Tribolium castaneum: one gene and its partners. The protein of the gene in region 3 interacts with the protein of the main gene of each other region in a biochemical or structural test. Links are inferred from orthologs where the notes say so. Each region holds a gene or a part of one and is shown on either strand. Other genes may lie near its edges. The genes, in order: beta-Spec, mahj and Mer.

Evidence for each region.
Region 1: the proteins of Mer (region 3) and beta-Spec form a complex in vitro, tested with the Homo sapiens proteins (2 studies listed by BioGRID and IntAct). The link is inferred for Tribolium castaneum from reciprocal best matches to the Homo sapiens genes NF2 and SPTBN1.
Region 2: the proteins of Mer (region 3) and mahj form a complex in vitro, tested with the Homo sapiens proteins (3 studies listed by BioGRID, with this or other methods). The link is inferred for Tribolium castaneum from reciprocal best matches to the Homo sapiens genes NF2 and DCAF1.

The regions. Positions count from the first base shown.
Region 1 is NC_087402.1:8,229,161-8,239,994, forward strand, and holds the start of beta-Spec (spectrin beta chain), read right to left. Parts: upstream 10,040-10,834; 5' UTR 9,882-10,039; intron 5,064-9,881; 5' UTR 5,035-5,063; coding exon 4,905-5,034; intron 4,689-4,904; coding exon 1-4,688. Other genes in the region: transmembrane protein 184C, read left to right, coding at 10,355-10,617, 10,698-10,734, 10,790-10,834. UniProt on the Homo sapiens protein: Fodrin, which seems to be involved in secretion, interacts with calmodulin in a calcium-dependent manner and is thus candidate for the calcium-dependent movement of the cytoskeleton at the membrane.
Region 2 is NC_087398.1:977,836-988,800, reverse strand, and holds the end of mahj (protein mahjong), read left to right. Parts: 5' UTR 1-63; coding exon 64-176; intron 177-222; coding exon 223-373; intron 374-424; coding exon 425-562; intron 563-610; coding exon 611-738; intron 739-784; coding exon 785-960; intron 961-1,011; coding exon 1,012-1,088; intron 1,089-1,136; coding exon 1,137-1,672; intron 1,673-1,739; coding exon 1,740-1,878; intron 1,879-1,928; coding exon 1,929-2,427; intron 2,428-2,478; coding exon 2,479-2,588; intron 2,589-2,634; coding exon 2,635-2,914; intron 2,915-2,968; coding exon 2,969-3,315; intron 3,316-3,364; coding exon 3,365-3,483; intron 3,484-3,537; coding exon 3,538-3,771; intron 3,772-3,820; coding exon 3,821-4,219; intron 4,220-4,422; coding exon 4,423-4,507; intron 4,508-4,553; coding exon 4,554-4,763; intron 4,764-4,808; coding exon 4,809-5,168; intron 5,169-5,216; coding exon 5,217-5,286; intron 5,287-5,328; coding exon 5,329-5,516; and 2 more. Other genes in the region: trypsin-3, read right to left, coding at 5,885-6,169, 6,229-6,570, 6,629-6,792, 7,276-7,495, 7,549-7,761, 9,453-9,512. UniProt on the Homo sapiens protein: Acts both as a substrate recognition component of E3 ubiquitin-protein ligase complexes and as an atypical serine/threonine-protein kinase, playing key roles in various processes such as cell cycle, telomerase regulation and histone modification.
Region 3 is NC_087401.1:7,789,312-7,800,893, reverse strand, and holds the start of Mer (merlin), read right to left. Parts: upstream 6,910-11,582; 5' UTR 6,790-6,909; coding exon 6,691-6,789; intron 6,640-6,690; coding exon 6,510-6,639; intron 6,463-6,509; coding exon 6,251-6,462; intron 6,206-6,250; coding exon 5,768-6,205; intron 5,721-5,767; coding exon 5,484-5,720; intron 303-5,483; coding exon 1-302. Other genes in the region: pyd3 (beta-ureidopropionase), read left to right, coding at 9,424-9,527, 9,571-9,827, 9,877-9,971, 10,020-10,226, 10,394-10,711, 10,756-10,842, 10,894-10,977; zinc finger HIT domain-containing protein 2, read right to left, coding at 10,983-11,279, 11,328-11,537. UniProt on the Homo sapiens protein: Probable regulator of the Hippo/SWH (Sav/Wts/Hpo) signaling pathway, a signaling pathway that plays a pivotal role in tumor suppression by restricting proliferation and promoting apoptosis.

The DNA of each region.
Region 1 (10,834 bases), on a different chromosome or scaffold from region 3:
GCTCTCAGCCTCGTTGGCGTCGAAGAGGTATTGCTGGGCGCGTTCGTTTCGCAATAGATTCTCCCGGCGTTTCTCCACAGCGTCTTTCAATTCTTGCCAAGCTTTGTGCAGCTCGCTGATCAAGTGTCCAAACTCGACCGAATCCTCGTGTCCTTCATCGATTAGTTTTTGGCCGTTGTTGCAAACCGTGTTAATTCTAGGTTCGTGGTTTTCAATTTCGGTTCGTAACGATTGATTTTTCTTCTCCAACATGTGGACTTGGAATAGACTATTGCCGTATTCGGTCGACGAGGCTTGTGGCATCTTTTCAGCGATCCACAAGAGTTCGTCTTCGACGTCGCGTCGGAATTGTAAAGCTTCCTTCTTCTTTTCCAGAACTCTTTGACGCTCGAGGAGTGGTTGTTTGAGTTGTTGGAACCGTTGTTCCACTTGAGATTTTTTCACTTTGATTTCTTCCAATTTGGGGGCCGGTGTTGTCGTTTCGAGGTGTTTGGTTTGCTTTTCTAGTTCGTCCACTTGACGGGCTTTCACTGCCATTTGTGTTTCGATCATTTGTTGTTTCTGCATGAGGATGTTGACCGAAGCGAGATCAGCGCCAGTGTCGTCGCTTTCGATTTGTTTTTCGAGATCGTTCATCCATGAGTCGATATCGTCGCAGGTTTGGTGAATGAGTACTTCGCGATTAGCGTCAAACAAGCGTTCGCCCTTTTCTTTCGTCGTCTGTTCCAAAACATCAAATTGGTCGATGAGTTCTTCAATTTTCGGCTTAATTTCACTCGCAAACTCTGGTTTTTCCTTAGCCAAGTCTTCGCCAGTCTTTTGTAAATTAAGTAGTCGCTCTTTATTTGCGGCAATTTCGGCTTCGAAAGCTTGATGACGGGTCCACTTCGAGTGAACTGTTTTGGCCGATCGGTAGGTTTCGTCCTGAGCTGTGATGTGTTTTTCCTGGATCCATTCTCCCAATTCGTCGCAATCTCGCAGGAATTGTTGCAATTCTAATTGATCTCTCAGTGTTTCCATTAATGCTAAAGCTCTCTCTTTTATTGCTAATCTGCGTTGGTCAATATTGTCAGCGCGTTTTGCGATTTTATCCGAAGCGAAATGCCCTTCGTCGATGAGACGATTCGTAAACTGAATAACTGCGTTGAACTTGTCGTCGTTTGCTTCCATGGACGTAAGGAATGATTCGTGCTTTTTCAATTGATTGTCGGCCTGTTCGAGCGTCGTAGGAGTCTCGATTTTGGACAAAGTGTGCTCTTGTTGGTTGAGAATCACCTCAGCTTGTCGCGCGTCGCGATCAAGCAACTGCAAGCTAAGAGACTGCGATAGGAGTTTCTGCCGGTTCTCCCACATTTGGTGGATTTCGTCCCAACCGTCCTTCAAAGCCTTCAGTCTTTCTCTCAGGAACATGTACTGAGTGTCGTCTTGGGTGCTGGGATCGGCAGTGATTTTCTCCCCATATTCCATCATCTTAGTGTAATCGTCGGTATAGTTGTGAATCTCTTCGCAAATGCTTTGATGCTGTGACAGGAGATTTTCCGCTTCGGCCAACGAATTGGGCGTATCTTCGGACGCAATATCGGTTTGGGTCTTGGTAAGCCAGGCTTGGAAGTGGTCAAGATCGCGCAAGAAGCGGTGCAAATCGCCAGCTTCCTCCAATTTCGAATCGCGTTCTTTCAACATTTGGGTCAGTCGTTCCCATATGATCTGTATCTGAACGATTCTTTCCCTGATAACGGCTGCTTCCTCCGGGTGTTCTGTCTCGATACTGGACGCTTCCTTTTCCAAAGAAGTGAGCTTGGCTTGGATGGCGGCTAAATCGCGCTCCATGCCGGACAAACGTCGTTGAAGTGTCATAATACCAGTCAGATCCATCTCCAAACTATCAGTACTTTGTAGGATCCGAATTTTATCTTCGATCCATGTCGTGGTTTCACGACATTCGATATGGAATGTTTGCACGCCGTGTGCTGAGTTAAGTTCATCTCGTTTCGCTTCTGCTTTTTCGCGCAATTCCGCCCATTTCTGGTTGAGTTGGTTCTGTCTAGCTGTGATCTGTTCAGAGTTGGGATGTTCGACGTGTAACAGCTGACGTGCGAGTTGGTTTACTACAGCAACTCTCGAAGCATTTGCGTTCATCTCTTTCTCGAAACCATCATAGCGATGTTTCATAATCTCGACATCTTCAATATCACGTGCCGGTACCATGGTCTGCAACATCCTGTCCTTCTCGCTGATCCATTGCTCGACTCCGTCACTCTCCGACAGTAATTTATACAAGGAGAGTGCGTCCAACAAACGTTGCTTTCTGAGTTTGGCCAATTCGAGCAGTTCTTTATACCGGTTATCGATCGAAGCCAATCTTTGCGAGACTTCTGGCGAGTCGGCAACTTCTGGTCCCAACTGTTGAGCTTGCTGGTGTAAGGCTTCGATGGTGCTGGCATAATTCTTAAGTTCTTCAGTAACGTCCTTATGTTTCTTAAGCAACGACTGTGCATTGCCTTCATCCCGGCCAACGTCTTCGCTCGACACCAGTCGCAAAGTATCCAGCATCCAAATATCGACATCGTCAGCATCTGCAAAGAGTTGGTGGTAATCGACGGCATCCTCCAATCGCTTCCTGCGATAAGCCGCCAAGTCTAGCAAATGTTTCCAAGCCCCGCGGATTTCCGTCAATCTTTCTTGCACTTTTTCTGCACCAAAATGCCCGGAATTGACCAATTCCTCCCCAATTCCCACAACAGCGTCCAACTGGGGTTCGTGCCCTGCGATTTCATTCTCCAAAGCTTTGTGTTTGCTTAGGAGCAGGTTAACAGTGGTGAGGTCGTGCCCGATGTCGGCCGCTGAAACAATCTGTTCCTTTTCCTTGATCCAGTTTTCTTCATCGGCCATGTCCCAGTAGAACTGCCACAATTTGCGGCTTTCCTCAAGTCTTGATCGGCGATCCACAGCCAAGCGAACCAACTCAGCATACGCATCTTCGAGTTGTTGCACGCGTTCCAGTACTAGGGCTGGGTCACACGGTCTGTAACCTTCCTCACTTTCCACGTCCAGGAAACGTTGCGATTGATTTGCCACAGCTTTGACCCGATCTCCAAGTATGTTAATATCGGCTTCGAGTAAGTTATGTTTTTGGAGCAAGTCTTCAACACCCATGAGATGTTTGCCGTAGTCGTCCGTCAAAAGACGTGCTTTCAATTCCTCCATGGCATCGAGAATGTGGAGCATTTCTTGGAAGTTCTGTTGTAGTTGTAGGGACAATTCCAATCGGTGTCTACGTGCTCTAAGCAATTCCAGGAGGTAATTCCAAAGGCGTAGGACGTTTTCTTTTCGTGCGTTAATCCTCTCCATGTCGTGATAATTCTCAGCTTCGAGTTCCCCAGCCACTGAGACAACCGCTTGTACTCGTTCTTCGTAGGCGAGAATATCGGTTTCGATAGCTTCGTGTTTCTTGGCTGCGGCTTCAACCGCGGTCAAGTCGTGGCCGAAATTATCTTGCGAGACCAATCTCTGGTTTTCGCTCAACCAGGTTTCCCTCATGCTGGCTTTTCGGTTGAAACGAGCGGCCAATTGTTCGAGTTTTTCCTGTCGGATCAGTTCTTCACGCAGGGAGAGTTCTCGTTCGTGTTCGGCTTTTTCCAATCGTTCCCAGGCTTTGTTAATGTCGGAAATCATTTTGCCTTCTTTCGGAGTGTAAGGTCGTTGATTGTTAGCTCTCATCTTGGATTGTAGTGTGAAAAGAAGGATTTCCAAGTTGCCTTTCTCGACGAATTTCGGTGGTTTCTCGACGGTGCGATAATTATTGAACTGGCCTAATTGCTGTTGCACGCCCACAAGGCTATTGGCGAATTGTCTCTCCCCTAAGGCTTTGATAGTGGCTTCGATCCACGCCAACAAATCACTCGTTAGTGACTCGTATTCTTTAATCATTCGGTCGTTTTCCATCGCAATCCCGACGACTTTACCGATACGTTTTCCTTGGACCGTCTCCTGTTTCATCTTACTGAAGTAGTGGTAATAAGTAACGACATATGTGATGATTGATTTTTCGTCGGGTTGCTCCACGAACACGTCTTCAGCGTCGAGAAGTTTCGTCAATCCCAGTTTATCTTCAGCCACGTTAAACGCATTATTTAAATTGTGGATGGGGTTCGATTTGGACAATTTCTCGAACTGTATCAAATCCGGACGATGTTTGTGGATAAGTGCGTTGAAAGCTAGACCATCCCTCCACGAAGTGGTGAAATTTCGAACGTTGACGTTATTATAGCCGGCTGTTTTCATCTGACACCACAGCAACAGTGCATCTTTGGCCGACTTGGTCTCCTGGTTGTCCGTCTCTTCGATCGTGATGTCTTGAATTTGGAATCGGAGAATGATGGTCCAGATCAAACCCAACGAAAGTCGGGGGTTTCCGTCCACAATATCGTGCGATCCCATATTTTCTAAGTGAACACGTTGCTCTCGGAGAAACTGGAGAGCTTTATCGACGTTTTCCAGGCAGTGAATTCGCATTTTTCCTTTGGTTGGACGAGGCAGACGTTCGCCCGATAATACTTCCAATAATTTAATCAAATTTTTGCCGTCTCGCATGTCGGTGTAGAGATCGGTAATGCGGGAGTTCACCCGCACCAGGTGAGAGTTCACCCATTTCTGGAAGGTCTTTTTCTGGACGCTTTCTCTTTCATCTGTGTAAAAAAATTACTAAAAGTTACAAACTGAGTGTATTTACCCCGCAATTCTAAAACTATTTTGTCGTAATATTTATCCACCTCCAATTCCATTTTTCTGTTAACTAAATGTATGGTGAAAACACACTGAACTTGACACAGGAAATGTTTGGTTTTGATAAAATACATTAGATAAGAGTGCCACAAAAATTGAGAGTTGCATCGTAAACTTACCCGCTAAAGCTTTAATGCGAGATCGTTCGAAAAGTCGGGAAGATGAATTGCCACCATCGTACTCATAGTCCTCGACAATTTCTTGCTGCAAGGTGGGATCCCACCTCACTATACTGATATCGGTGGTCATTCTGTTGACTCACCAGCAAAGCTGGCTACCTAGAAAAAAGGCACATTATTTAGGCCGCTGTGTCACTAAACCGTTTATTTTTAGCACTGACGAATTTGATGCAAAATAGTTAATGCAGTAAAAGATTTAAATTAACTGTCGTAACTAATAAAGAAATTATTCTTCCCACACAGACTCTCTTGTGGGTGTTTCGTAGTGAGAAAGACCTTCAACTAACACAACTAACATTGTTCTAAGCAACAAAGACACTCTTATATTTCCCCAAATCGGCATCACTCACTTATTCACCCTGAAATATTGATTAACAATCCCAACTTGATGGGTTCCTAATTTGTGTTTGTTAAAAATAGCTTTAGGTAAGTCCATGCAAAATTAATGAAACAGAAAAGCGAAAACTAATAAAAATGTAATTACGGCCACATTCGGTGTTATCGACCAAACACTTGTTCACACAGTACGCGAGTACATCTTCACTTGCACGTAATACGAATCAACTGAATGTAAAAGTACACAGCTGACGTGAAAAAGGTTGAAAACCTGAATCAGGAACTATTTGGGTAAATCGATTTCTCGGCGACGTCAGACACACGACGATGGCAGCCAGTTCTGGCGTCGCGACGCCTGACCTAGCCGAACCACTCGCTAGCCGGACTGCAGCGTCTGGTTCGATCTGTAGTGCGGTAAAACTGCCGGTGGCGGCGCAAAATTCGCAAGCGACGACCTCGACTGAAGCTGGACGAATTGGGTCAAGTTGGGATTGAATATCGAAGATTTAGGAAACTGATCTGTCATTTTAGAGCTTCAGTGAATGTCCGCAAACATTGATTGGCTTTGTGTCAATAAAAACATCTTCGCTTCGACTAATTTTTTCAGATCGTGATCACAGATTATTACATAACACCAGATTTAATTTGATTTGCCATTGTTTGATAAGATGACTACAGTAACAAAAATAAGTGAATATGTTACGAAAACATGTACAGAAAATACAATCGAGGATAAACCGCCATAAAACAAAAGTGAATGATGATTTCATCAAATAGGCCATATTTGGGCTACTTCCTGACAAATGACGAACGTAACTCATATTTAGTTACAAGTAATGAATGGGTTCTTGCGCCCTAAAATGACAAAAAACGCACATTTGGGGACGTGAATGATGTGGTACAATTACCTATTTTTCTCGCAATACATTACCTCGAGATAATTCACGATGATGTAACAAACACTATGACATAGTTAACATTGCCAGCCAGTGACGATGCCAATTACCTTCAATCAAACCGAATATTACATACTCACAGTGGGTACAAATAGAAGGGTGCTTGACCTTTACCACAGTAATAATAGCCATTACGGCTACTTTACTATTTTAATCAACTAATTAGATAAGAGCTATTGGATTCATGCCACTACTTTCTAATCAAGGTTAACACCCTGGCCTTTGCACAAATTAAAACAGATGCCTGTACATTCAAACACCAAAAATCGGCATGTGCGGGCAAAGTGCTCAACGAACTGTAATACCTGAATGTAATAAAAAATTCACGCCATCCTCACACCCTATTCAAGCATTTCCATTCATCACTAATATTACGCTAGTACGTAATTTATCGTACGTAAAAACTGAAACAAAACTCTGATACGTAACGTTGAGGCATCTTCAAACATGTATACCTTAATAGGTAAGTAATTAATAACCTAATTGAATTAAGCATCAACGTTGCTCCATAAACGAGACGCCAGACACTAATTAAACCAATATTGACACAAATTACCTACTTTCGAGCCAATTTGTGTTCGGAAAATAGTAACTTTTTGTCAAGAAATTCCCCATTCCAAGTAGTAAAACAAGATATATTTGCTTGGTAAAAATTTATCATCAACGAATTTGAACCGTTATAAGACCGATCAAAAACCCATGCACGTAAAATCTTACAGACAACTGTGTTTACGGTACATGTTCCACCCACAAGTTAGTTTATTTGTTTACATAACATTAATGCTTCTGGTTAGGATTAGATGTATTTAAAATTGCTTCTGGATTAGATCATCTTAAACAACACATGCTTATTATTAAAAATGGTACAAGTATTTCAGAATAAATCGCGGAACCTTGCAAATAATTTTCGAACTTACAGCACAATGAAAATTAAGAAGGTTATTTCAATTATAAGTCACAAAACTGTTTGCCCATGAAGTATTTCCTAGTCATCTACTAAACTAAAAAAGACGAAATGTAAATTAGTTTTTATTTAACACATTAATGTAACCACCACGTCAGAACATGACAAAATTAATATTTATTTGACCTAAAAACATACTGGCGTGATAACAGCACCAATTAGCAAATTACTTAAATCGTGGTAATTGATGAAGTTTATTAATTAAAATAGAAATTACATTAATTCAGTTCTTATAAAACAAAAAGTCTGTGCACAAATATTCGTTTCACATTTCTGTACACAAAATGCGTAACCTTCTAAAGGCACGTCTTCCATTAAAATCAATAATTTCCCTCTAAAAGCAGTAACGGCGGAAACATACATAATGCTTCCTGTAAGTAATCATTAATATCGGGTGCTTGTGGAATACGTAAGCACCAATAAAACTTCTTTCTGCCTTAATAAAGTTATTAAAAATAACAACGAACAGAGTTGAATAAGACTTATTTTTTAAATTGGACCAATTGGTAATGTTACAAATAATTATGTGTATATATGTGAAGATGAGCAATTGGTTTACCTATTCTGTAATAAATGTTAATTATTTCGTTGAGTGATTTTAAACTAAACAGACAATATTATGTTCTTTGGGAGTGCCAGTAGTTTACTTAAATTTTACATAGCTGCTGATTGATTTAGAAACGGCTCCAATTCAAAATTAAGTAAAATTTTATATAAGTAAAGGTAAAATAATTAAGAAGTGTTGTTTTCACAATATGATTGGCTGTTACTTAGCTACAACTTAGCAGTCTTTAAAGTAAAACGTACTATTTTTACCATAAGGTGAATCAAAAAAACTAAGTTTCGTTTGCCTAAGTTATTTATTTTTTGAAAAAAAGCTAACTGATGAAATATTGATTACGTAGTCGCCTTAAAAACTAATTTGCGTTTTTGAACTATTTTTTAAATAACATTATCTTTAATAAAAACATTTTTGTCGTAAAAACTGTTCATGATAAGTTGACATTGAAAATAAAACAATATTTCATTCTCAAAACATGAGGACACTACTATCTGACTTAAAACTGTAGAAAAAGTGGCAACAACGCATGTACATTTTTTAGGATCAAATAGATCACAAATTTAAACTGATGTACTTCCGTGTGATTCTGCGTTAAATTTAATGCCAAGAAAACTCACGAATCTAAAGAGAAAACCAATTGCGAAAAGTGACAGTTGTTTTTAGTTTTGAAACAGATATTATACTATTATTATTTATCTCTCACGAAGAATTTAAAAAAATGCATGGTTCAATATATTTTACTGACCCTGTATGTATATTTCAATATTTGCTAGGTAAGGAAGTGTGACGCAATTTGTTTATGATTATATGTAATCCTATCAGAAAACAGGTGTGTTGTGGTAGATCATGGAATTAAGCATTTCAAGTTTGGATTAAATTACGAAAACAAGAGCTACTTCAATTTTTTTTTTGGTAGCAGTGTTTTTTAACAGTGTTATTTCAATTTAAAGTCAGTTTGTCAAACTGACAAATATTATTGAATGACGTTTATATCATTCAGCAAGTTATTTGACAAGACAATGCCAAATTATACGAAAAACTGATAATATAGTAAAACATAATTCAAATTTAAACTAATCAATGTTACAATCTTTTGTAAAACGCATACAAGAGAGTACAAGTACAAGTACACCTAAGTCCTTTTAAAGTCTTTAAAGACTATCATTAGGCGATCATAATTTTGTCAGAAATATGACGTTTTTAAACGCTCATTAGTTAGATTAAATTAAAAGCAAATGCGTAAGCACGAGCAATAAGTGAACTTTGTCTTTTTTCATGTCTCATTGAAGTAAAAATGTGTGATTTTTATACACAAGGCAGCTAATTAACACAGTCTGAACTAACAGTCAGACTATGGAAACTAGAACAGTCATATTTACTCAGTTACTACACAAACATTATTATTGAACTGTGATAAAACGTTTAAAAAATGTGCAGGTTTAAAAGGAAAGAGTTGTAGCGATAAGAACACAATCCTACTACACAAACACTTGCACTATTATTATGTAACAACTTGATGATTACGTAAAAATTTAAATTTAATACTATTTACAACAAATATGACTCATGCACGCATCACAGATATTAATAGACACCGAAAGACACAAGAGTTTATAGGCCATCATTAGCTTTATCAAATAATGTGACATTCAGTCATTTACCAATTTATTTTGGGATTATGACCATACTCTTGACCTGGAAAAAGTATGATCAAAAGAAGCTACATAATATTACCTAAAGATAATATTGAAATTTAACAAAATTAATAAATTTGTAGGGCGGCTATTATTACAGTTGACCTGTCCCTTAAGGGCAGTAACCCGGCACTGGGTTACATTTGTAAACCACCTCCAAGTTCACTGACATAGCAACAAATGCATTTTGAACTTTGAATCAACGACAAAAGGCCAATTCGCTCAACAACCAGAATAAAGGTATCATCACTGAAAGTGAAAAAAGCCAGTCAATACAGTTCTACTGAATTATTTAACAGTTTAGTAAAGTTTGGGTTACACCTATTCGGCCATTTTAAGAGACTTGGGTTAAGATTTATCGACATTATTGGTAACCGCAGCAACCGGCAAAAAACGATGACTTACCTGTTATCGTTACTACTTAAATATCGTCGGTCTCACTGATAAACTTACATTCATAAGTTAAAAAACTGTTATTTTTATAAAATCACCACCTCGCGAACACAAACGCCCTTCATGACGGCTATTAACGAGACTCGTTTACGCATGCGCATAATTACGATAACAACACGCCCAACGCATAGTAGGCTGGTTGCGTAGAGAATAGATGGCGCTAGGTTGGATGCCCTTGATTTCGCTTGATTACTTAATTGTAACTTCCTTTGTGGCAGGGAAGGGCCACGTGGGGTTGTAGTAAATTATAAATAGTCAAAACCAGATTTGCAATACAAAACAATGCCATTTTCCCCCCTAAAATAAAAATTGCACAGTCCGGCCCTGTGGCCGTTGCGTCGAGTGCCCGTCAGATGTCAGCCCAGTCCATTGTCAAAAATCTGTCATAACAAAAAAGTGTCAAAAATGTAAAATGTTTTTTGAAAATGCCGTTCGAAACTTGTTTTAATTGTTTGGCCCGTTGGAGATTATGGATAAGACCATTGGTGATTATTATTTACGCGTTAGCAGCTCTTGTTTTCGTGCCTTTATTCTTAGTGAAGTCTTTGGAGGATGGGTTTAACAAGCGAGACCAAGAAATTTTGATTGCTGGAATCTTCGTTTGGGTTGCTATTCCTTTGTCTCTGTGGGAAATCATTCAGCATGTCATACATTACACCCAGCCCAAGTTACAGAAACATATCATCAGGTAATAATATCAAAAATGTGATTGGTTTTATAGACGGCTTATCAGTTCGGTTCGATATTGACGCAATTATTGTACTTTAGGATATTGTGGATGGTTCCCATTTATGCCATCAATGCAGTAAGTTATGACTTGTAACCAGATTTAAGGTTTTGGCTGTGATGATGTCTTACAGTGGTTGGGGCTTATTTATCCCAAGCAGTCAGTCTATGTGGACAGT
Region 2 (10,965 bases), on a different chromosome or scaffold from region 3:
AAAGTATTTTAGGTTATGTTAAACTACCTCATGCCCTTTATTTTATAACGTTTTGAGCCAATAATGTCGGAAAACAGCAATTCGACTTCTGTTATGTCAGAAGTCACAACTCTGATAAGAAACTGGGAAGATGAACATACGGCGCCTAATTATGACCCCATTCAGACACTCACCAGGTAGATCTTGCCTTAATTTGGCAAATTCTTACCCTTTTGTTGGCAGATTGGCCGAAATATGCGAGGTGGAGACTGAAAATTACCTGAAAATGGATCCTGACCCATTTGATGAACGCCACCCTTCACGAACTGATCCTGACTGCAAACTTGGCCAAATTTTAAAAGCGCTTTTTAGGAAGGATATTTTTATGAACAAAGTATTAACTCTCCACAAAAACATAAAAAGACACACATAAATATTTTTTCAGCTTGTTAACGATTATTTGAGAGAAACGTACTACTCTCGGTCAGGAATCACAGACAAGGATGTTGATCAGTTGAATATTGCAGCTTGTAGGTTGATGCTAGACGTAATGCCTGGCTTAGAGACATCAGTGGTGTTTCAAGTACGTGTCAATTATTTTTTTGGGGGGAAAACTAACGACTAGTTTCAGCCCGATATGGATAATTTGATTCACCGTTTAATTAAATGGACTACAAATTCAATAGAACCTCTGCAAAGTTACGCAACGGGGCTTTTAGCTGCTGCAATGGAAATTCCAGAAATTGCCACACGTTTTAGGTAAGTTTCCGCTTTGGTCTTATCGCAGTTAATTACCAAAAAATAGGGAACAAAACGGACGACTTGTGCCTTTACTACTTCAAAGACTGCGTAGGCTTCAAAATTCCTCGGAATTTTTGACCACGACAAATACTCGACCTTTTGCACACTTATCTTCAATGAAGTCGCCCCCTTATCGCGGTGACGGTGTCGTAAAAGTTTCACCCTCTGGTATTAAAAGGCGTACGTAACGACACCCTATTGTATTTTACCCTTCAATAATTATTCTTACAGCCCGCGAGAATGGAGTTATTCCAAATTCGAAAACAACACTTAATAAAGAAAACACTGATGTGATTAACACTAGTGAGGTAAGCGCGCCTTTTCCTCCTCGTGATATGGTCTCACGTTTAATACAGTTATCAGATTCGGAAAGCGGCCAAAAACGCAAAAAACTAAAGCTGGAGCACAATTCAAGCGAAGCTGATGAAGGCTCTCCTCAAAAACCCTTCCTATTTAACGAAACGAGCAATTCGTCGTGGGCAGAGCTTGAAAGTTTTATGATTGGAACCGTGCAAATTTTTCCGCCAACTATAGCAACGCGTCAAATACTCATTTTACGTTATTTGACACCGTTGGGTGAATATCAGGAGTTTTTGAGTCATGTTTTCGAAAATGACGCTCTTAGTTTGGTCTTAAAGTATGTGAATGTCCGAGCGACTAAAGAAGCAAGACTTGCATTTGAAGCCTTGAAATATCTTGCTGCTCTTTTATGCCACAAAAAATTCTCGATTGAGTTTATTCAAATGGATGGTCTTGAGGCACTTCTGGAGGTGCCAAGGCCGTCAATATCAGCCACTGGGGTCTCGATTTGTTTGTACTATTTGGGGTATTGTGAGGAGGCAATGGAGAGGGTTTGTCTGCTTCCGAAATACATGATCACCAGTTTAGTCAAGTAAGTCTAAGTTATACCTTACAGTTTGTAAAATCAATTAAAACTCATAATTTAAAAAAAATCTTAGGTATGCTTTATGGCTTTTGGAATGCTCACACGATTCGGGCCGATGTCATGCTATAATGTTTTTCGGTCTCACGTTTCAATTCAAAGTGATTTTGGAGGAATTTGATGCTCATGATGGGTTACGAAAGTTACACAATGTGGTAAGTTTATCCCAAGTAAAAAAAATTGTTTGCTAGAGTTATATGTACAGATTTCTACTTTATCAATTTTACTGCCGGACACCGATACGACTCAACTAAACGAAGATCAAGAGTGCGCCGCTCGTCAAATCGTTCGCCACGTTTGTGTTGCATACCGTCGTTACCTTGAAGCTCATCTAAACCTAAAAGTAGAACCAATTAAAAGATCACAACTTAGACTTAACGAAAAAATGGCACAGCCGCCTTTACCGGCGCAGCCGAGCTACAAACCGTACAAGTCATCGCCTGAAGAGGTGCAACAGAACGTCGAAACGTTGTTGCAATATATGCCGTTTCGGTGCCATTGGACGCCAGTTGATCAGTTACTCAAATTAGGGGGAATCACACTCTTGTTGAAAATAATCGCGTTTGCGTATGAGTGGAATTATAGTGGGAGGGCTGAGACGGTCAGGTCGGCTTTGGATACGTTGGCTATTGCGTGTGTGATGCCTAAAGTTCAATTGTTATTTTGTGATAGGGTGGAATTGCCAGAGGAGAGTGCCACAGTTGGTACGAGAAAATCACAGTTTTGGGATTTTTTATTGTTTTTTTCTTCTGTAGGGATTAATATTATTTTGGGGGCCGCTGAGGGTGAAATAGTGGCCGATGCTGATGTACAAAAGGCTGCGCTTCGAGTCATTGTCAATTGTGTGTGTGCCCCCATAAATAGGGTACGTTTTTTACCGTTTCCAGACGTTTGTTTGATTTTTTTGTTAGGTTGGTGGTACTTTAACCCGATATTCGGCCACGGTTAACAGCCCAATTAAGAAAATTAAACTCAAAAGTAGCGAAGAATTGATTCAGAGAGTTTGGGATTGTGTCAGGTCTAATAGTGGTATTATGGTTTTGTTGCAATTAATGAATATTAAAACACCAATCACTGATGCGGACTGTATACGAACTTTGGCTTGTAAAGCATTGGCCGGCTTAGCACGGTCGGAAACTGTCCGACAGATCGTGTCAAAATTACCGCTTTTTACGAGCGGACAACTGCAGAGTAAGTCTTGATACGAGGCGAATCCGAGTGGGGTAACAACTGACTTAATTGCAGATTTAATGAGGGACCCAATTTTGCAAGAAAAACGCCAAGAACATGTGACTTTCCAAAAATATGCACTTGAACTTTTGGAACGACTTTCGGGGAAAACGAAACATCGGGGAAATGACTTGGAAGTTTCTTTAGCCAACATACATAGAGCTAACGTTGTGGCTCAGACTAAAATTCAATTCAATGATCGGCAATTGTTACAACTCATCCACCAACATTTAATTACGAAAGGTTGTCCAGAAACGGCCTCTATGTTAGTGAAGGAAGCAAATTTGGGAAACTCAGTCACGCCCATTTCAACAAATCAACCAACCAAATTCCGATACTCGTCCACTCTAACACCATCTAGGGTAAGTAGCAATTCACCAAAGCTATAATTAAGTGTAACAAATGTCTTAGCTTAAGTTAAATTTCACTCCAATGCAACACCGCACAATACCGCAGTCACCAGTGCAAAAGGAGGAGACATCGTTTATTAATAGTTCCAACTGTACTTCCCCTGCTATTAAATTAATAAAGTATGGTCGTCATTGTAGATAATTATCATATTTTTTGCTAAGAAAAAATTTCAGGAAACACCAAAATCAAGTGGTCGCGACACCACCGGTCCAAAACTCCCGATTACAGAAACAAACGAATAGCGATGTTGTAGTTAGGGTGCCGAGTCAGAGCTTGCTTGACGAACCGACGAATCCACCCGAACAGCCCCGAGTCACGCTCGATTCGATCATAACCGAGTATTTAACCAATCAGCATGCGTTATGTAAAAACCCCATGGCCAACTGTCCCAAATTCAATCTCTTTATGTAAGTTTAAACTCCTATGATTGGTTGTGTTTCTGATGGTGTTTTCTAGTCCACATAAATGCCCAGACCCTAAACCAAAGATAGCCTCAGCCAATAATTTTGTGGTGAGGTGTGCGCGACGTGCTATTGGGTATCAGTCCAAGTCTATGGACCGGAAATTTATTCATTCGAGATTTTGTCCAGTTCAAACGATTCGGTCGTCGTCCGATGGCGATTTCTTCACTTGTGCGAAATTTTTACCGGGTGATAAAAGCATAATCGTGGGTGATTACAGTGGTGATATACGAATTTTTAATCTGCATACTGGAAATGAAGAGTTTATGTTTCAAACGCACGATAATTATATCGTTCATTTGGAGCCTAACAGGAGTGGGGAGTTTCTGTTGACGAGTTCCACGTGGGGGCGGCCTCTGTCCGCACTCTGGGCCATAAGGAACTCCGAGATGAAGTAAGTTTTTTACTTTAAGTCGAACTTAAAATTTTTTTGCGAAACTCGAAAATATCAAAAACAATTGTCTAAAAAATTAATTCAACTCGCAAAGCGATTTTTTTAACCGTTTGTATAAAACCATACAGTTGGTGGTCTGATTTGACCACTCGATGACCAGAAATGTTCGGTTCTGCGAATTTAGCGTCTAACTTGTGGTTTAGGTTTGCGCTGGACGATGAAGAACATGTTGAGTTTAGTAAAGTGACACAGGAGCGGATTGTGGCGACTAAACTTGAAGTTGCAACAGTGAGTAACACTTCACAGTTTGGCAAATTATAATTTTTTCAATTAGATTTACGACGCCGTCACGGGCCAATCAATCTTGCGTTTAGTTCCTACAGATAGTAACCAATACACTAGAAATAAAGCCACATTTAGCCCGTTCGATGATTTGGTTTTATCAGATGGTGTGCTTTTCGATGTCAATTCGGGCAAACAGATTCACAAGTTGGATAAGTTGAATCAGACCCAAAGTGGGGTGTTCCACCCTAACGGCTTAGAGGTACTTTCGCTTTTTTTGCTTAGGGAAATACATAGTTAATTGTAGATTGTATCAAATACTGAGGTTTGGGATGTGCGAACTTTTCATTTGTTGAAAACAGTGCCAGTTTTGAATCAACGTACTGCCGTTTTTTCACCGGTCAATAGTGCGATTTATGCCATTTCGATGGAACAGGAATTGGATAATGGTGACTCGACATTCGATTCGAGTTTTAAAACAGTGGATGCGATCGATTACTCGAGTATTGCTACTATTGACGTTAAGAAAAACATCTACGATTTGGCGGTTAATCGGTTCGATACGCAAATTGTGATTGTGGAGAATCAGGGGGTTTACCAGTCGGTTCAAGAGTCCGTGGTGCGGATCTATGATGTCGGGAGGAAGCGAGACGATGAGGATGAACAAGTAAAAAGTTTAAGTTGTGGTTGCGTTTTTGTTTATTTTTTGATGCAGGATGAAGAGGACGAGGAAGAGGAGGATGATGATATGGATGGGAGTGACGATGACGGTTCCGATAATGATGGTAATTGCAGAAAAGTGGCAAAAGTAATATAATGTTTTGCAGTCGATGTTGATTTTCTAGATCGATTGATGCTCAACGTGGGCGGGAATAACGACAACAACGATAATAACGCCAACAATGATGATGACAATGATGAGGACGATAATTTCTTCGATAGTGAGTCTGATAGTTGGACGACTACGTCGACTGGCTCTGATGATTCGTTCACGGATGATATGTTCGATTTTTGAGCGAACCGTAAAATAAGGTTTAAATGTGATAGCAATTCGAAAATAGTTAATTGGATGAGTGGGCGTGTGTCTGTTTTTTATAAGGAAAACGGCATTTGATGATTTTCCAGCTTGTGGTGTCAAGTGTGTTTTTAAATGTGAGCCGAGTTTGGAATTATGTTGAACATTGTGTATTATATTTCATAAATAAATACAATTTCAAAGGAACAAGCGTTTGATTTCGTGCCAAAAATCCTAGGACATTGTCCCCTTGCGTCAGCACAATTACGACGGACGGGTCAATAAAACCATCACTTTTTACAAATCAAGTTTATTGCTCAGTTAATGTCAAAAATAGCTATAAAAGTGTTAAATTTGCGAATACTGAATTATGAGTAGTGGTCCATCACGTAATAGATCCACTTTAGGTAGTTAAACACAGTGGTGTAAATGCCGTACTTGTTTTTCAAACCACAGCCGTCCCCAAAACTTGTGATGCCTTGGACGCTGTATGCGAGTCTTGAACGCCGTTTGAAGGGGCACATGAGCCCCCCGCCACTGTCCCCGGCGCAAGTGTCGGCCTCCCCTGACGACCAACCAGCACATAACATGTTGGGGGTGATGAGGAAGTGGCGGTAGGAACGGCGGCAGACGCTCGCCGCCACAATAGGAAGCTGGAAAAATAGTATATTAAAAAACTTTTGGAAATTTGGAGAAAAATTATAGCAGTCACCTTGGCCTCGTGCAGCGTGTGGGTGCCGTAGGTGTCGCTGGTCCTGACCTTGCCCCAGCCCATGACGGAGCAAACCTCCGAGGGCCTGGGCCTGGTCTTGGGCAGGCAAGCGATGGGGAGATTAACACTCCTTGGTAGTTGCAGTAGGGCAATGTCATTATCCACCGTTTTGTGGTTGAACTTCGGATGCTGGAAAATCGTGTGAACAGTCATCTCGAGCTCGCGTCCATCTCGAGCCCTTAGGTCATGTTCGTTCAGTCTTACGCGTAAAATCGGACGTATGCAATGACTAGCTGTGAGGACCCAACGTGGGCCTATGAGAGTGCCTCCGCAGAACACTTCCTAAAATTTATAGCCGAGGTTATCAAGCGTTGAAATTGACCCATTTCGGGATACCTACGTAGTATTTGTTTAAAATGGCAACGTGCCAAGGCCACTTGTACTTCTTCGATTCGGTGCCGCCGATGATTTTCAGCATTCGCGATTTGCGGAAAGGCTGCCCACAGCGGCGGCGCTGCGGGAGGCGGCGGTCCAAGTTGTTGTAGTGGTAGTAGCGGTTGCTTTCTTTAAAAGGAAACGAAATCATATGCAGAAACCGCTTTAATGAGGTGACCACAACTCTAATTTTGGAAAACTGCCTAATTTGAAACTTCTTAATCAGCGCACAATGCTTTTGGAGCAGAAATTATTAGGTCTAGAACGTTTTTTTTTACCTGGACTAGAAAAAAGCAAGTGGTAATGTAGTACATTAGTCCGTAATGATTACTATACTTAGAGGGTGATTCAAAATTGGTTTTGTTATAATTAAAATTAACTAATTTTATCCTTCATATTTTTAAGGGACTTGATATTGTATTAATAATCTTTTTGCTAGAGCAAATAGTTTTGGCAAAAATCGCTCGGTTCTAGGTATATTTTCGCCCAACGCTGTGTTTATATATTTTTATCATTATTTACTAACCAGCTTTATGATTATTTATTTATTGAACCGCAAATATTTGAACAAAAAGGGACCCGTTTTCTATTCGTGGATAATTCCTTACGCACCGTATGCGTCTTGGTTATCCAACAAGTTCAGAACGTAGTTTTCACACATGGAATTGTCGTGGTAGCAGTAGGCCGTCTGCTCCTGCTGCTTCTTCCTGCAGCGTCCCGGCTTCCTGCAAATCCTGATCCTCTGCGTCCTGCAATTCTCCGAACAGGGCGACCAGTTGGACCATTTGCTCCAAATGCGAGAAGGCGCTTGACGCAGCAAATGGCTACTATCCTAAGACAATGAATCCGTCTTAAAAAACACACTTGTGAATCCCCCAAACATACTTCGTTCAATTGTACGACCCGGAATTGTTTTTTCTGGCGCGCTTTCCTCTTGCAGCGTTTCTTCCCGCAGGGTTTTTCTTCGTAAATGCGGGAATCCTCGCATTTGGGGGAAATACACTTCTTGATCCTTCTCTGAATGCAGTCGATGCAACGGCTCCAGGGGGACCAAGGCGAGTAGCGCGCTTCGGAAATTTGGAGGTCGTGATGATGGGTCTGAAAATATGGCTTGCGTGACCCAATTTGGAGACTGCTAAATCGATTCAATTGCAGTTGTGCAAGGTTTTAAGGCGGAAGTGTGGGAAAATTGGAGTCATTTCCGGATTTATTTTTGGTTTCGCACAGTTTGGCGCGCGTTGGGACAATTTATATTGGGGCAATTAAGGGGAGAGGCTCAAAAAGGCCCTTGTTTTATTTAGACTAAACAAATAATTAAAGGCGGGATAAGAGCTCATTCAGGATTTGGTGATTTATTTATTTCAGGTTAAGTTTGGCGTAACACGCATTTTTACACACTTATTTATTTTAATAATGCGGAGAACGGAAGACACAAAGTTCAAGTTTAAAAAAATAAAAGTAAATAATAAACGAATTTTGATAAAAAAACGGTAACACCGCATTTGAGATTGATCTATAGTTACAAACAACGTATATTTTGGTGACTTGACCCAGTTAAAAACCTATTGTTCTGTTTCATTTTTGTAATAATTAAATGGAGCTGTGATTAGGTTGATTACGTGATAATACTCAATACGGCCCTGAGTTCGCGATGACACCCAGATTTATGGACGCTTTCGGTTTTATTTTAGTACCAAGCAGATTTATTAGAGCAACCATTTAAAAGGAATTTTTCATAATTGCTCGTATTTGTAGCGCGATCATTAAAATTTTTCTTCCTGAAATACTATTATTGTAAACTTGACTTGGCTAAATTTAAATTTCAAGACCAAATTATTTACACATCGCATCCTCTATAAAGTGAGAAAATAATCAAATTACAATCGTAGGCGATTTTGTAATTATTAAACGTATTCTATTTCAAAATATTTATTTATGTGGCAAAGTGAATTATTGCTGTATACAAAATATTTTTTATTGGTTATTAAGTCGCAATAAATAAATTAAAAACTTTCTGGCACGTACAAGTGTCAGTAAATAAATATTTGTTCGCTTTGACATGGAAAACGTTCCTGAAATGTGAACTTTTATCGATGTTGGTCAGTAAGGACAAAAACAACAATTAATTAAATAATCTCGAACAAACACCTATTCATCACGAGCTGGGGACAGGGTCGTGTCCCAGTGAGACTTCTCCCCTTGATGACGTAAATATTTATTCACAACAATTAATATTTACAACGGCGTTCGCATTTAATCTCGACTTTCTGGGTTCAAGCAGGTTCAAGGTGCTATTGCCACCGATCGTCTTACCCTAGTCCAAAAATAGTTGTCTCATTGTAAGTCTACTTAATTTGAAACTTTACGACCAGGGACCCAGATGGGCTCAAACTAAAGGTCAAACAAAGCATAGGTCAGTAACTCCTGGTTTTAAATTAGTCTCGCGCCCAAAAAAATCCATGAAATAATATTGTCACGCTGTTGGCATTTGACCCAGATCACACACAATCGAACCCATCAAAAGGCGGGTTCGATTTCAATTTCGTGAATGAATTGCCGGAGCAGTGACCCATGGACCATTCATCCCAATTGTCTCGAATTAATTTGAACGCTATTTTTAAATGGTTAGCTACCTGCGGACTATTTAAATATTGATTCTTGCGTTTTTTGTCTGCCAGTGGCGTTCGCAATTATCGCATGTGATTGCTGTTTCTGTTATTACACTTGGGAAAAATTGCAGCGCGTGCATTGCGAGGCCAATTAAAGTCGGGGCAATTTTGCAGACTTACCTTATTATCAGCCTCGCACATGACTTGAAGCAGAAGTAGAATGAAGAACCGGAGGCGCATCTTAAATTAAAACAACTCACTTTCGGTGTTCATAATATGGGCACGTTCACTTGACGGAAGCAAAATTTGTTTATTGTGCGGGAGGCAGAGCGGAATTTTTTTCCTTGTAATTCATTGTGATTTTGACGTGATGTATTAAAGCACGACTTGGCCAAGAGCCGGCTGCTTTCGATACCGAGCAAACCAAACTAATTCCGAGTCAGTTGACTTCTACTCTGTTGCAATCCCGCCGAAACCTGATCTTTGAAATACGCTAGCTTAAGCGCCCCACACACTCTCAGATCATCCGACATTGGATTAGGACTGGAAGATTTTCAAAAAGCGCTTTTTGTGACGGGGCTTTTTTGACAAGTTTTGGAAAAGCCGAAGGTCTGACTGTTTACAGAAATGGGTTTTTTCCAAAACTAACAACCAAGCTGACATTCATTTTGGGAGTTCCTAATTTTTTTGTCAAAATGGAAAGTATTCGAATTTAATCAAGTCTTAGTTAGAATAAAACTCCTATTAGACGTGACTTGACTAAGTTTATCATCGTTTGAAAACTCTTTTGATTTCTATTTTTTTGACTAATGTAGTTTTCGAGAAAGTTGCAAACAAAAGTTAAAATGGATAAAAGAAAAAAATTCATACCTAAAAAACTATTGGGAATTTTGAGATTTAATATTTTGATTTTTTTTGCTCAAGAAAGTGAAAAAATTATTTTTTTTAATTCGTTCTATCATACTTTTTCGTATTTATATATGCCTTTACAACTCTCTAGAGTTGTTAAAAGTCCAAAAAAAGTCCATATGTTCGATTTTTTGATGTTTGATTTTTTCAATTTTCGTCGCAATTTTTGTCGATTTTGGGTACCCGGAACATTTGTTGAGCAATAGCTCCGGAACTATCAGAGATAACCCCATGAAGTACTATCGTTGGAAAGCTCTTTGAATTATCTATTTTTTTCAAAAAAAATTATTGTTCTCCGACTAATAGTTTTTGAGCAAATTGCAGATAAATGCAAAAATTGGTAAAATTTTAAAAAATTCACAACTAAAAAACTATTGGGAATTTGGCAATTTTTTCGATGCCAATCGATTCCCCGGATCATTTTACATAGGTTTACATCAATATAGTTCCATTTTTTCAATTAGTATTGCCGTAATTAAAAAAATAAAAAAAATAAAAATTTTGCTTATTTTGGTGGTCAAGTCACTCACCTTCACAAAAATTAAATACTAATTTTTTTCAACACTCGCTCTAGCAAAGATGTATGGACCTTTTCATGTCTTTACATTTATTTAGGATTCTTAAAAGTGCCAAAAGTCAATTGCTTCGTTTTTTTATCTTTGATCTTTCCAATTTTTGTCGAAGTTTGAAAAATTTTCATTTATCTGGTAATACCCTCGGAACTATTGTAGATAACCCTTGAAGTGTATTATCGTTGGAAAGCTCTTTTAATTACCTATCTTTT
Region 3 (11,582 bases):
AAATCCAACAATTTTTCTTTGGCTTGTTTTTCAGCAGCTCGCGCCCGCAACAATTCTTCTTTCAGTCGGTTCGCTTCAGCCGCTCTTCGTTCCGAATCTTCAACTAATCGAGCTGTTAATAATTCTGCTTCACGAGTTTTTCGCTCCAATGTGACTTTTTCTTCTTCCTTTCGCATCGCGCTGAGGCGCAAACGGGTGATTTCTTGTTCCGCTTCGGCCGCTTTCTGGCTCAGAAGAATTGCTTCTTCTTCAGCAACTCGGCTTTTTTCGGCCAGCAAATCGGCGCTTTCTTCGGAACGTTTCTTAAAAAGACAAAAAACGAAACGGGTTAAGGACACAGTAATTTTGGGCTAACTGTAATCTTATGAATAATTAACAATTAACCAAATACAGTCTCCAGTTCGTCGTTGGTAAGGTCTTAGTTCCCCACAATTCTCACAGGTGGCACTTTGTGCTACCTTTGTCTCGTAAAATACAGTCCGGTTATAGCGAACCCGCTTAACTTTGATCTAAAATGTGACACAATTTTCCGTTTATAACGAACTTTTCACCGAATTTTGAAGATTATATTGGAACTGATAATGACAAAGCAGCAAGAGAAGTGTTAACTGATGAATATATTATTGAATTACTAACTAAAAACATTTTAACCAATAAGAACGTGTGTTTTTAAGGTGGCGACTCAGGCCCTCAGTTTTCATAACTTGAACTAATGGTTGCCATGGAAACAAGTGGATAATTGTATTCCATTAGATGGTATGAGAATGCAAAAATCGAGATTAAATACAAAATTTCAATTTTTGGAAATTTTGGCTTGAGAAATTTCCGATGAATGTTGTTTCCGAACCGTTCTGTCACCAATTGTTATTTTTGAAAATTCAAAACAAAAGCTGAATGCAAATTAAACTGTACTTGGAGATTATGAATGTATTGCAAATTAGAAAATATCTTCATTTGCCAAACATTGAAGAAAGAGAAACATAAAGGTTATAACATGAGAAAAGCAAACAATTCACCTTGTCCCTAAAGACGATAACTAAATCACCAAAACTAACACCTCTACCTCTAGGTTATCCATGTGTTCGTAAGGTTTTTTTGCTGCATATACAGGGTGCTCAAAAACCGGCGCACCAACTCAGTGAAGTGTGGGTGGTGAATTGCCTACATACAACGTGCTCAAAAACTGGCGCACCAACTCAATGGTATGTGGTAGAGAACTAGTTACATATGAAGGTAAAAATAGTAAAAAAATTCTTTGTATTAAATTTATTGATGAATAACGGATTTTAAATAAATGATATGTGGCAACGTTGTCTAACAGTCATGATCGCAATAGCATTGCCGTCTCGAGACGGCAATGGCAATAGAGTTTGATCAACAATAAAAATAAATTATTTTTACAACAGTTTCCTAGGAAATAATTACCAGTGTTGGCACATCTAGAGTTCCTTTATTGGGAGAGTTGGGACACTGAACGTCAAACCGAGCCAATTTTGTATTATGTGGATAAGGTATATATTTCTATCCTTTTTTATTAAAATTTTTGTTATTAACTTATGTCAGAGGTTTATGTCGAAATTAATTTCAAGGTTATAATTTTTGTCAAATGCATAAAATGACATAATTTTACGTCAAATTTAACCAGGGACGTAGAAAACGTAGAAATTTTGGGATTGCTATTTAAAAAATGAAAATAATTGAATACCTACCAATATTAATGTTCACATTTCTGAAATTTTTCGATACTTATTTTAATATTAAATACATAACTTAAAACATACTTCAATGCTAAAAATGCTTTTCTTTCAGTCACAATTTTTAGTTAAACATCTCGTCCCAAAAATTGGTCATCAAGAACCCTTCATATTTCCTGTCGTCTTTTTAAATTTTCAAAAAAATTATATTAAAGGTGTTCTCGTATGAAAAACGTAACAAAATCGTGAATTCCCAATAACTTTATAATTTGAAACATAATCTAAAGTTCACGTAGATGCTAAAGGCGGCCAAGCAGCGACAGGTTCAGCTTTCCTAAAAATTAGAACCAATTTTGGGTTCAAGTACTTACATATTTTATAAATGCATAGACAAATTCCCAAAATCTCATAGATTTTGTACATAACATTATTTAGACAATCCACTTTTCCAAATGCTTGTTAATAATAAACGTAAAACTTGGCAGGAAAGGTTCAATTTCTCTCTCTTTCATCGACGATTACCATTTCTTAAAGTTAAGGAAAAAATGTTTATGATGAAGAGTTTAGACGTAAAATTCTTGTACTTACAAAAAAATCTCTTTTAAAATTTGGAGTTCATATAAAAAAAACAGTGAATTGACGACGACTGCCAGTCTAAACCATTTCTAAACGCAGTTAGTCGACGAAAAATGGGAACATTTTTTAACAATTTAATTTGACTTTTCGGCAAATTTAAAGTGTAACACCACTGATTTCTATCCCAATTTGTTTTTTTACACATTCCAACCGACGTAAATAAAACAAAATTTCGAAAATTGACATTCAGTGTCCCAACTCTCCCAATATAGGAACTCTAGGCACATCTACACATTGCGATTTTTTTGATGAATTTTAATTTTTTTAAATTAAAAAACTGCTAAAGTCTGTTAGAAAATTTAAAAATAATTATTCATCGTTTAGTTAGGAAACGATTACTTAGTGCGAAACATAAGAATCTTAAAAAATAATGAAAACTGAATGAAACTGATCTACACATGCTTCTCAACAACGTACCACTCAGTTGATGCGCCAGTTTTTAAGCACCCTGTATTTGTATTACACTGGACAACAAATTTTATTTGTTTTGTTTTTTTTTTAAATAAATTATATCCAAATTAATTTTATTTTATGTACAGCGTGCTCAAAAACTGGCGCACCAACTCAATGGTGTGTGGTAGAAAAGTGGTTACATATAAAGGTAAAAATAGTAAAAAATTCTTTGTATTAAAGTTATTGATAAATAACAAATTTTAGGTAAATGATATGTGGCAACGTTGTCTAACAGTCATGATCGCAATAGAATTTGAGCAACAATAAAAATAAATTATTTTTGCAACGGTTCCCTAGGAAATAATTCCCAGTGTTGGCACATCCACACATTGTGATTTTTTGGATAAATTTTAATTTTTTTAAATTAAAAAAACTGCTAAAATCTGATAGTAAATTTAAAAATAATTATTCATCGTTTTGTTACGGAACGATTACCTGGTATGAAACATAAAAACATAAAAAATAATGAAAACTAAAGAAGTTAACACAATAAGTTTGTAGCTCCAGATTTTTTAAAATATAACTTTAGGAATTTTTTCAACATTTTTCCCGTAATCTGCACTTGCTTCTCAATAACGTACCACTGAGTTGGTGCGCCAGTTTTTGAGCACCCTGTATAGTGGATGATAACAAAAAAATATGTGTTTGTACACGTCAGGTTTTGTAATTTTTAATTTTTACTTGCCTTTAATATTGATTGTCAGAACATTCTAAAAGGTTTTGGTGCAAAATAAGTAACAATTAATAATCTTTTGTATGATGCGTTCGAGCACGACATAGATATAGAAAATAGATATATAGATATAGATTTAGCAAACGCAATAGATATGCTCTTTTGATTTAAACAACTTCTTAAACATGTTTAAATGTGTCAATTAATATGACTTTTATTGTTTATTTATAGTAATAAAAGAAAATTCGCTTATATACAGTGAAATTATGAGTTTTCTAAAAATATTTAATATTTTGTTTCAGAAACCTGACGTGATGGCCAATTTTTGAGTTCGTTTTTAGAATCTGCATAAAAATGTACATAAGAGACACGTGCTAGATATTAGAAAAAAAAGTGTTCTTTGGAATGTGCAATAAGAAATAATGTAAAATAAAGAATACAATTTTATTTTTGTTAGTTTAATAACATATTTATTTTCCTACTACAAAATTGTGCACATTGTGGTAATTTCATCTAAAATACGTGAAAAATACTGCACTCATTCGCTGTAGAACAACTTCATAATGAAAAATCAGAGAAAAAACATTTTTATGATTGAACATCGTTTTATTATGGAGAATCTTCAATACGGACACTTAAGATTGTCACTCCAATGAACTCCTTCCAAGTTAATTCACATAACAGGACAGTTCTTAATATTATACAGAGTGTATTAGAAATACCTGTTTTAGTTTTAACACGTAATAAAACTCATGAAATACAACTTTTCTATATAACATTTTGCAAAATTCTTCTTTATAATTTTTAATGTTTTCCTCCATTTTCGGTCAGTGTTTAATAATTAGTTTGTCCGTTTCTGGCACAACGAAAATAGTTGGGCTCTAACTTTTGTTGGGTTCACGTTTCAGTATGTTATCTTTTTCCAAATTTTAAATAAATTTGCAAATTTTTTATTAAAAGATTACAAATAGAATAGTATATTACGAGTTTTATAAGACGCATGCACAGATTTGGAGTAAGTGCGACATCAGTATGTTTTTTTTATGTTATATCCATGAAAATTGGTATTTAAGCTTTTGGTTAAAGATCAAAAACAAATGTTTTAGGATTTTTGGAAATTCCATCCCTAAGACTCGTTATTTCAGTTAAATTTAAAGTCAAAATCCTCAGAGTCAAGTTAATTCGAAGTTGGAAATATGTTTTTTGATTTTAATCTGAAGTTTATATTTAATTCGACATTGTTTAAAAACCGTTTAAAAACGAACTAAATCGATCGAAACAGCCCACTTTTTGAGTCGATTTAGCAAAATCAAAAACGTTCTTCCAAAACGTTAAAAAAACAAAAATTAATACAGATTTCGACATAATTTACTGCTCTTTGTTTTTTCTGTTTTATACATTTTTATGTAAAGGTATTTTTAAAGGCCCTAAAATAACTTATTAGAATTATTATTATAAAACAACAAAATCATTTTCGATCAAATTTGAGCTGTTTTATTAATATTGCGAAAAAAACTGGGTTTTTCAATTAAAAATTCAGATAAACGTTTGAAAGAGGCAAAAAGATAGTAATTTTCTATCTAAATTAATGATTTTTCAGCTTTAAATCTTGCAAAAAAACAAGTAGAAAATCCATTCGCAAGGGGGTTTCCTATAAAAATCCGTAATTTTTGTAAGTAGAACTTGAAAAAACAATGAAACACCATTTTCATTTTTAACCGAAAACTCAAATAACGATTTTCATGGGTATAACTTAAAAAAAATACAGATTTTTATACAAAATTTAACCCCCTTGGGGGTGGAATTCTTATAAAGCACAAAACCTCCTTAAAGAATGATTTTTCAAAACAATCATCTACTGTTCAATTTAATCAATTAACTTATTACAGCTAATAAAACATAATTAATTACAATGTAAATGAAAAAAAGTAATGCGATTACGTTGTAATTAGATTATTGATTTAACTACATTATAATCTGTTTATGCCCAACTCTGTAAGAGGGGCTTTCGGCCAATCAAAACTTACCAGAGCTTCATTAGCCAATCGGATTTCCTCCTGGTACTGGAGCAGGCGCTGTTCCATATTGGCCCTTTCACGCTCCGCCTCCTCTCTCAATTGTTTTTCACGTGCCAGACGATTTCGTTCAATCTGCCGACGTTGTTTCTCTTCTTTGGCGGCGGCTTTCATTTGTTGGAGTTCCATAGAATCGGGTTTACGCCTCCGCATGAATAAATCATGGTTACCCATGCACAAATCAAGAATCTGAAACATTTGTTTTAACCACGCCCCCTCAGACCACACCCACTTACCAATTTATTCATTCTAACTTTTTGGCTAAAGAAGACAAAATTTGGGGAATTCTTATCGACCGGTTTGATAATAAATTTTTTATCGTCAAAACTAATGTGTCGTATTTCGGCCCATGTGAACGTCGTTTTTGGTTGTAGTTTATTTTCCTTTTCGTAGATGTTTAATCCTAGAGGTGTTACACCTAACCACAACTCAGTCTCTTTTTTATTCATTATCGGAAAATAATTAACACCGTACATGTCCAAGTCTTGTGCGATTTTTAAATACTCCATCTCGGCTTCGTCTCGCGACATACCCCTGTGATCTGAGTACCACACTCTTATCCGCTCCTCCCACATGTCTAGAGTCATCTGATACTGGTCGATGACTCTTTGGGGCAACAAATCCTCGTTCGCTAACATTCCCGGTTTGTACGTATCTAGGTCAAAGTCTCCAAACTGGGGGCTGTTAGACAGGGGGAACATTAACCTCAAACTATTTACCTTGGCTTGGACCGCGTAACTGGCTAGCAGGACGGACGCCTCAGGGGGGCAGTACACATCCATAGAGAGAATAGCTTGCTTAACTTGGAGAAAAAAATAGTGTTTTGTTACCTCTTGAACCAGCTCTTCGGCCACTTCTTCGGGGTAGAATTTCGCGAAAAACATGAACGACACCGTACTGTGGGGGTCCTTCTGGATGCTCTGGTCTTGGACTGAAACACACACATGATTTTGGGGGCCCTCTCAGCACCAGACCCACCTTTCTTGTCCAATTTTAACCAATTGATAAACCCTTTTGAATCTTCGTATTGCAAACCGAAATACCAAGTCTCGCGTAACCCGATTGTGCGGCACACTAGCTCGAATAAATCCCTGCCGGTGGCTCGCCACTACAATGCGAAAATTATTCACAGTTTGGAGAATTGAGACGGTAAACATACTTGTAAGTTGAACTCCAATTCGGCGTCCAATGTGCACACTTTCACGGGGAAACTCTTCTCGGATTTCTTTTTGCGAAATGGAGACATTTTTTCTAACATAATCCTCGCTTTTGTAAAACCTATCGCATTATTCAACCGTAAAATAACAACAACAAATAAGGCACAAACATCTCGGTTATGGCATTGACAGATGTCAATTCGGAATACCAACACAATGGCGGGAAATTACTAGGACTTTCGGGCGATGGGGCCCCAGGAAAGGGCTCAAGTGGGCGGTTTCAATCTATATCTTAATGTTTGTAACGCTAAATGTTATATAATGCTCCTGTCGGTTTTATTTTAGTTTAATCACAAAAGTCTAGAGGAAAATTTGGCCGGTAAAACAGATCTCCGATAAGCTTCTTGTCTTTTGAATAAATTGTAAAACCAAAAATTGCTTTTCTTGCTTTTTAATAAAAATTTAATCAGGAATAGGTCTTGATAATTTTATTTTTGACTATGAGGCTTAATTTTTGTTCGGTTTCATTGAGTATTTAGCTCAAAAACGTGTTTGAAATAAAAGTATAGCTTTTTTCGATTCAGTTCGGTGATTTCATGGTTCACGAAATAATTGCATTTCTGGGTGAAAAAGTGGAAAAATTAACTCATTTTCGATCAAATTCAGAACATGTTTAACTCGATTTACGCTAATATCGAAAAAAAAAACGCGTTTTATCTCAAAACTTGCTTAAACTCTCAAAAAATGTGACAAATTATAATATTTGTGTTAATTTTTCGATTTATTTTTGAGGAAATTTCTCAAAACCATTGGGTTTTTGTTTGAAAACGTGTAATATCATGTGAAAACCCAATCGTTTAGCTCAAAAACATGCTTAAACACTTTAAAAATGCGATCATTGTGTTCATTTTTTTAATTTTTCCGTATATTTTTGAAAAAATTTCTTAAAACAATTTGGTATTTGTTTGAATAACGTGTAATACATGCGAAAGGCCGAATTTTTTGCCCAAACACGTGCTTATGCGCTCGAAAAATGCGCTATTTGTGTTAATTTTTTTAATTTTTGAGGAAATTTCTCAAAACTACTGGATTTTTGTTTAAACAAAGTGTAATAATATCATGCGAACGGCCGAGTTTTTAAGTCATAAACGTGCTTAAACGCTCAAAATATGTGATACTTGTGTTCATTTTTAAATTAATTTTTGAAGAAATTTCTCAAAACAGTTGGGTTTCTTTTTGAACAACGTATAATCTCGAGAAAATCCGAGTTTTTATCTTGAAAAAATGCTCAAAAATTCAGCGTTTTTTGGATAATTTTTAAAAATTAATTGATTTTTAGTTTACAAACATGCATAATACAACAATAACACCATTTCCGATTAATTTGGGCAATTTTTTGGTTTTATTTGACGACTTTTCACGAAATAATTGGCCTTATAGACGCGGAAGTGGTAAAATAAATTTATTTTCGATCAAATATTGTGAATTTTTAGTTTAGTTTAACAGACAGGGTGTGGCGTCTAAACCCACATTAGAAGTAATGGTAGTTCTAATAATGATAGTCATCTGAAAATTTGTATATCACCATAACCTCTAAGGTCCTGCTCAATGAAGATATTTTCAAGATGGCGACACTTCCGGTTATACCGGAAGTCGCTATCAACTTCTTTATTTTAAATGGAAAACTATATTTTTTAATGCATTTTTGAATTACTAGAGTTATTCTGAGGTAGTTTTTAAAAGCTTTCCCTATAACTAAATTTAGTCGTTTACGAAATATTTACGGTCTTTACATTTTTTTGAATTTGCACTTTCCAGTTCAAAAATCAAAATATCTTAAAAACGGTAAAGAGAAAGCTGGTAAAAAGTCCCTTAAAATAACTTAACTAATCCAAAAACGCAGTGAAAAACATAGTTTTCCATTTAAAATGAGAAAGTTGATAGCGACTTCTGGTAAAAACGGAAGTGCTGCCATCTTAAAAATATTTAGATTGAGCAGAACTCAAAGGATTGTGGCTGAGTACCAACTTCTATACTTCTAATGTGGAGTTTAGACGGAACAGCCTGTATAATATTGTTTTTGTTTCGAAAAGTTGCTTTAACGCCTGAAAATCCGCTATGTTTTTTAATTTTTTACTTTTGACGAAATTGCACTAAAAATTATGGTTTTGATTGGAAATTTTACTGAAAAGTATTGTAAACATGAATGTAATTTTTGATTCTATTTTGTGATTAACTAAAGAAGTTTTCTGAGTGGCTACCATAAATGAGTACAAATAATTGCGAAAAAAAGCGCCAGCTTTTTTCAGCTTCCTTCAGTATGATATAATTTCCATTAAACTTTGGTTACTTATTTGATTAGTAGAATAAAGGTCACTGAAAATTTGCTAAAAAATGGAAAAGACAGAGAATACACTTGATAAGATAAAAGCTATACTTATTTACATTTAATTCCATAAGTAAATAAATAATAAATAATTATACAACAGTGTTGTAACTAATTAATTAATTATTAGTTGAACAAGTGTTTAAATATTATAGACCCCTTATTCTTGTGAATCATTTTCAAGTGACATAACATAACACCTCATTAATTTTGATTACAATTAATTAAATGACAATAGTTATAGAATTATTCAAATTATCGTTATCAACTCTCCTGATACGGTCCTGTCCTTCTGACGTAACTCGATAAATAAACATTAATTCTATTTTAAAAATTCTGGCATTTCAACATGTCTTCTCAACAACACTTCACCAGCATTGAAAAAATCCTATCGAAACTCCCCCCTGATGATTACCAAAACATCCGAAACGTGCTATACGGCAAACCGACAAGGTAAGCGTCCAATCAGAACGACCAAAATTAAAACAAACTACAGCAAACTCGATTTATCGGATGCCGAAACAAAAGCAAACGATTATGACCTTGAGCTGGTCTCTTGTCGCTTCGAGGCCTCACCTGAACAGCTAAGACCACCGAAAATCGTCCGTGTTGGCATTTTCCAACACAAACTACCCCTTCCTCCCAACACTCCCATCAAGGAGATGCGAGACGGGCTTTACAAATTGGCCCAAAACGCAATCGAGACGGCTGCGAAAGGAGGAGTCAATATATTTTGTTTCCAGGAGGCTTGGAGTAAGTCCGAAACAAAATATTCCCTCGACTGTCTTTTATTTTTTCAAAGATATGCCGTTTGCGTTCTGCACGCGCGAAAAACAACCGTGGTGCGAATACGCAGAGGTGGCCGAGTTCGGGCCTACTACGATTTTTTTGCAACAAGTAAAATATTAGGCCAGGTCAGGGCACACAATAAAGCGATTGTTTTAGTTGGCGAAACGTTACAACATGGTTGTAATTTCTCCAATTTTGGAACGTGACGAAGTGCATGGCCAAACGATTTGGAACACGGCCGTTGTTATTGACAATTATGGCGATTTTTTGGGGAAACACCGCAAAAATCACATACCCAGGGTTGGGGATTTTAACGAATCGACTTACTATTTTGAGGGAAATACCGGGCACCCTGTTTTCCAGGTGAAGTTGTGCATACCGGGTGGCCACTTTTTCTGGGAAAAGTCAATTGTGCCCTTATTTGTAAAGAAAACGCAAAATTGCTTTCGCAGCTTTGTTGGGCGTGACTTAGACTATATTTCCCCAATTGTTAGGTTTATACAGAGTGTTTCATTAAAGAAATATTTTAGACGGAATTTGGCAAAATCGCTATAAATATCTGTTACGGGCGCCACCACCCGCTCAATTGGTTAATGTTTGGCCTAAATGGTGCCGAAATCGTCTTCAATCCGTCGGCAACTGTTGGTAACTTAAGCGAGCCTTTGTGGGGCATCGAGGCCCGAAATGCGGCCATTGCCAATAGCTACTTCACGTGTGCTATTAATCGCGTTGGCACTGAGATTTTCGAAACTGAATTCACTTCCGGTGATGGCAAACCCGCCCATAAAGAGTTCGGACATTTCTATGGCTCAAGTTACATAGCCGCCCCCGATGGCTCAAGATCACAAGTAATTATTTAATTTAAAAAATAGTTGTTCACAGTTAATTGTAGGGATTATCTCGGGACAAAACCGGGTTATTGATAGCCGAACTGGACTTGAATCTGTGTCGGCAAGTTAGGGACCATTGGAGTTTCCAGGTAATAAATAAAACCACGGTTTGTTTCAATTTTTTAACAAAATCATTACAGATGACGCAAAGATTGGATATGTATGCCGAACTCTTGGCTAAAGTCGTTCAGCCCGATTTTAAACCACAAATTATTAAGAAATAATTCAATCACAACGCAAAATCTTTGGCAAATGATAATAAATAATCGATTTTTCTGAGACAAGTTTTAATTTTATTTTTCGATTCTAGTTTCACCTCTGGGAAACAATCATTCGGGAAATTCTTACTAAACGATGATTTCTTTTCCGTTTTTTTCACACTGGCCGTGTTGAGTAGTCGATGCAAGTCCGAAAGGGCACACAATACGTAAAAATTTCGTTCCGTTGCATTTGGACCTTCGAGAATTTTATCCAAATCGTCTCGTAATAATTTAAAGTTTTCGCCATCGGCCACAATCCAATCACTCTAAAAAATCTAGTAAAAATAAAGTATGTAACTCGGGAAAGTTACCACCATTATCGACTCATATTCGACCGATTTGACCGCGCTTTCGTAGTCGTCGAAATTCTGATTGTTTTTCAACGTGAGAGAAATTGTAACAACACAGCTAATCACCTCCTTGGCGAAGTCGTGATGTTCACCATTGAAGTAACGAGTGGCAAAAGCGTACGCTGCCAGGACGTTGATCAAATTATATTTGACGCAATCGGCCGGATTTTTTTTCTAAAAATTACTCAAACTTACAAAACAATAGTAAACAGATTATTA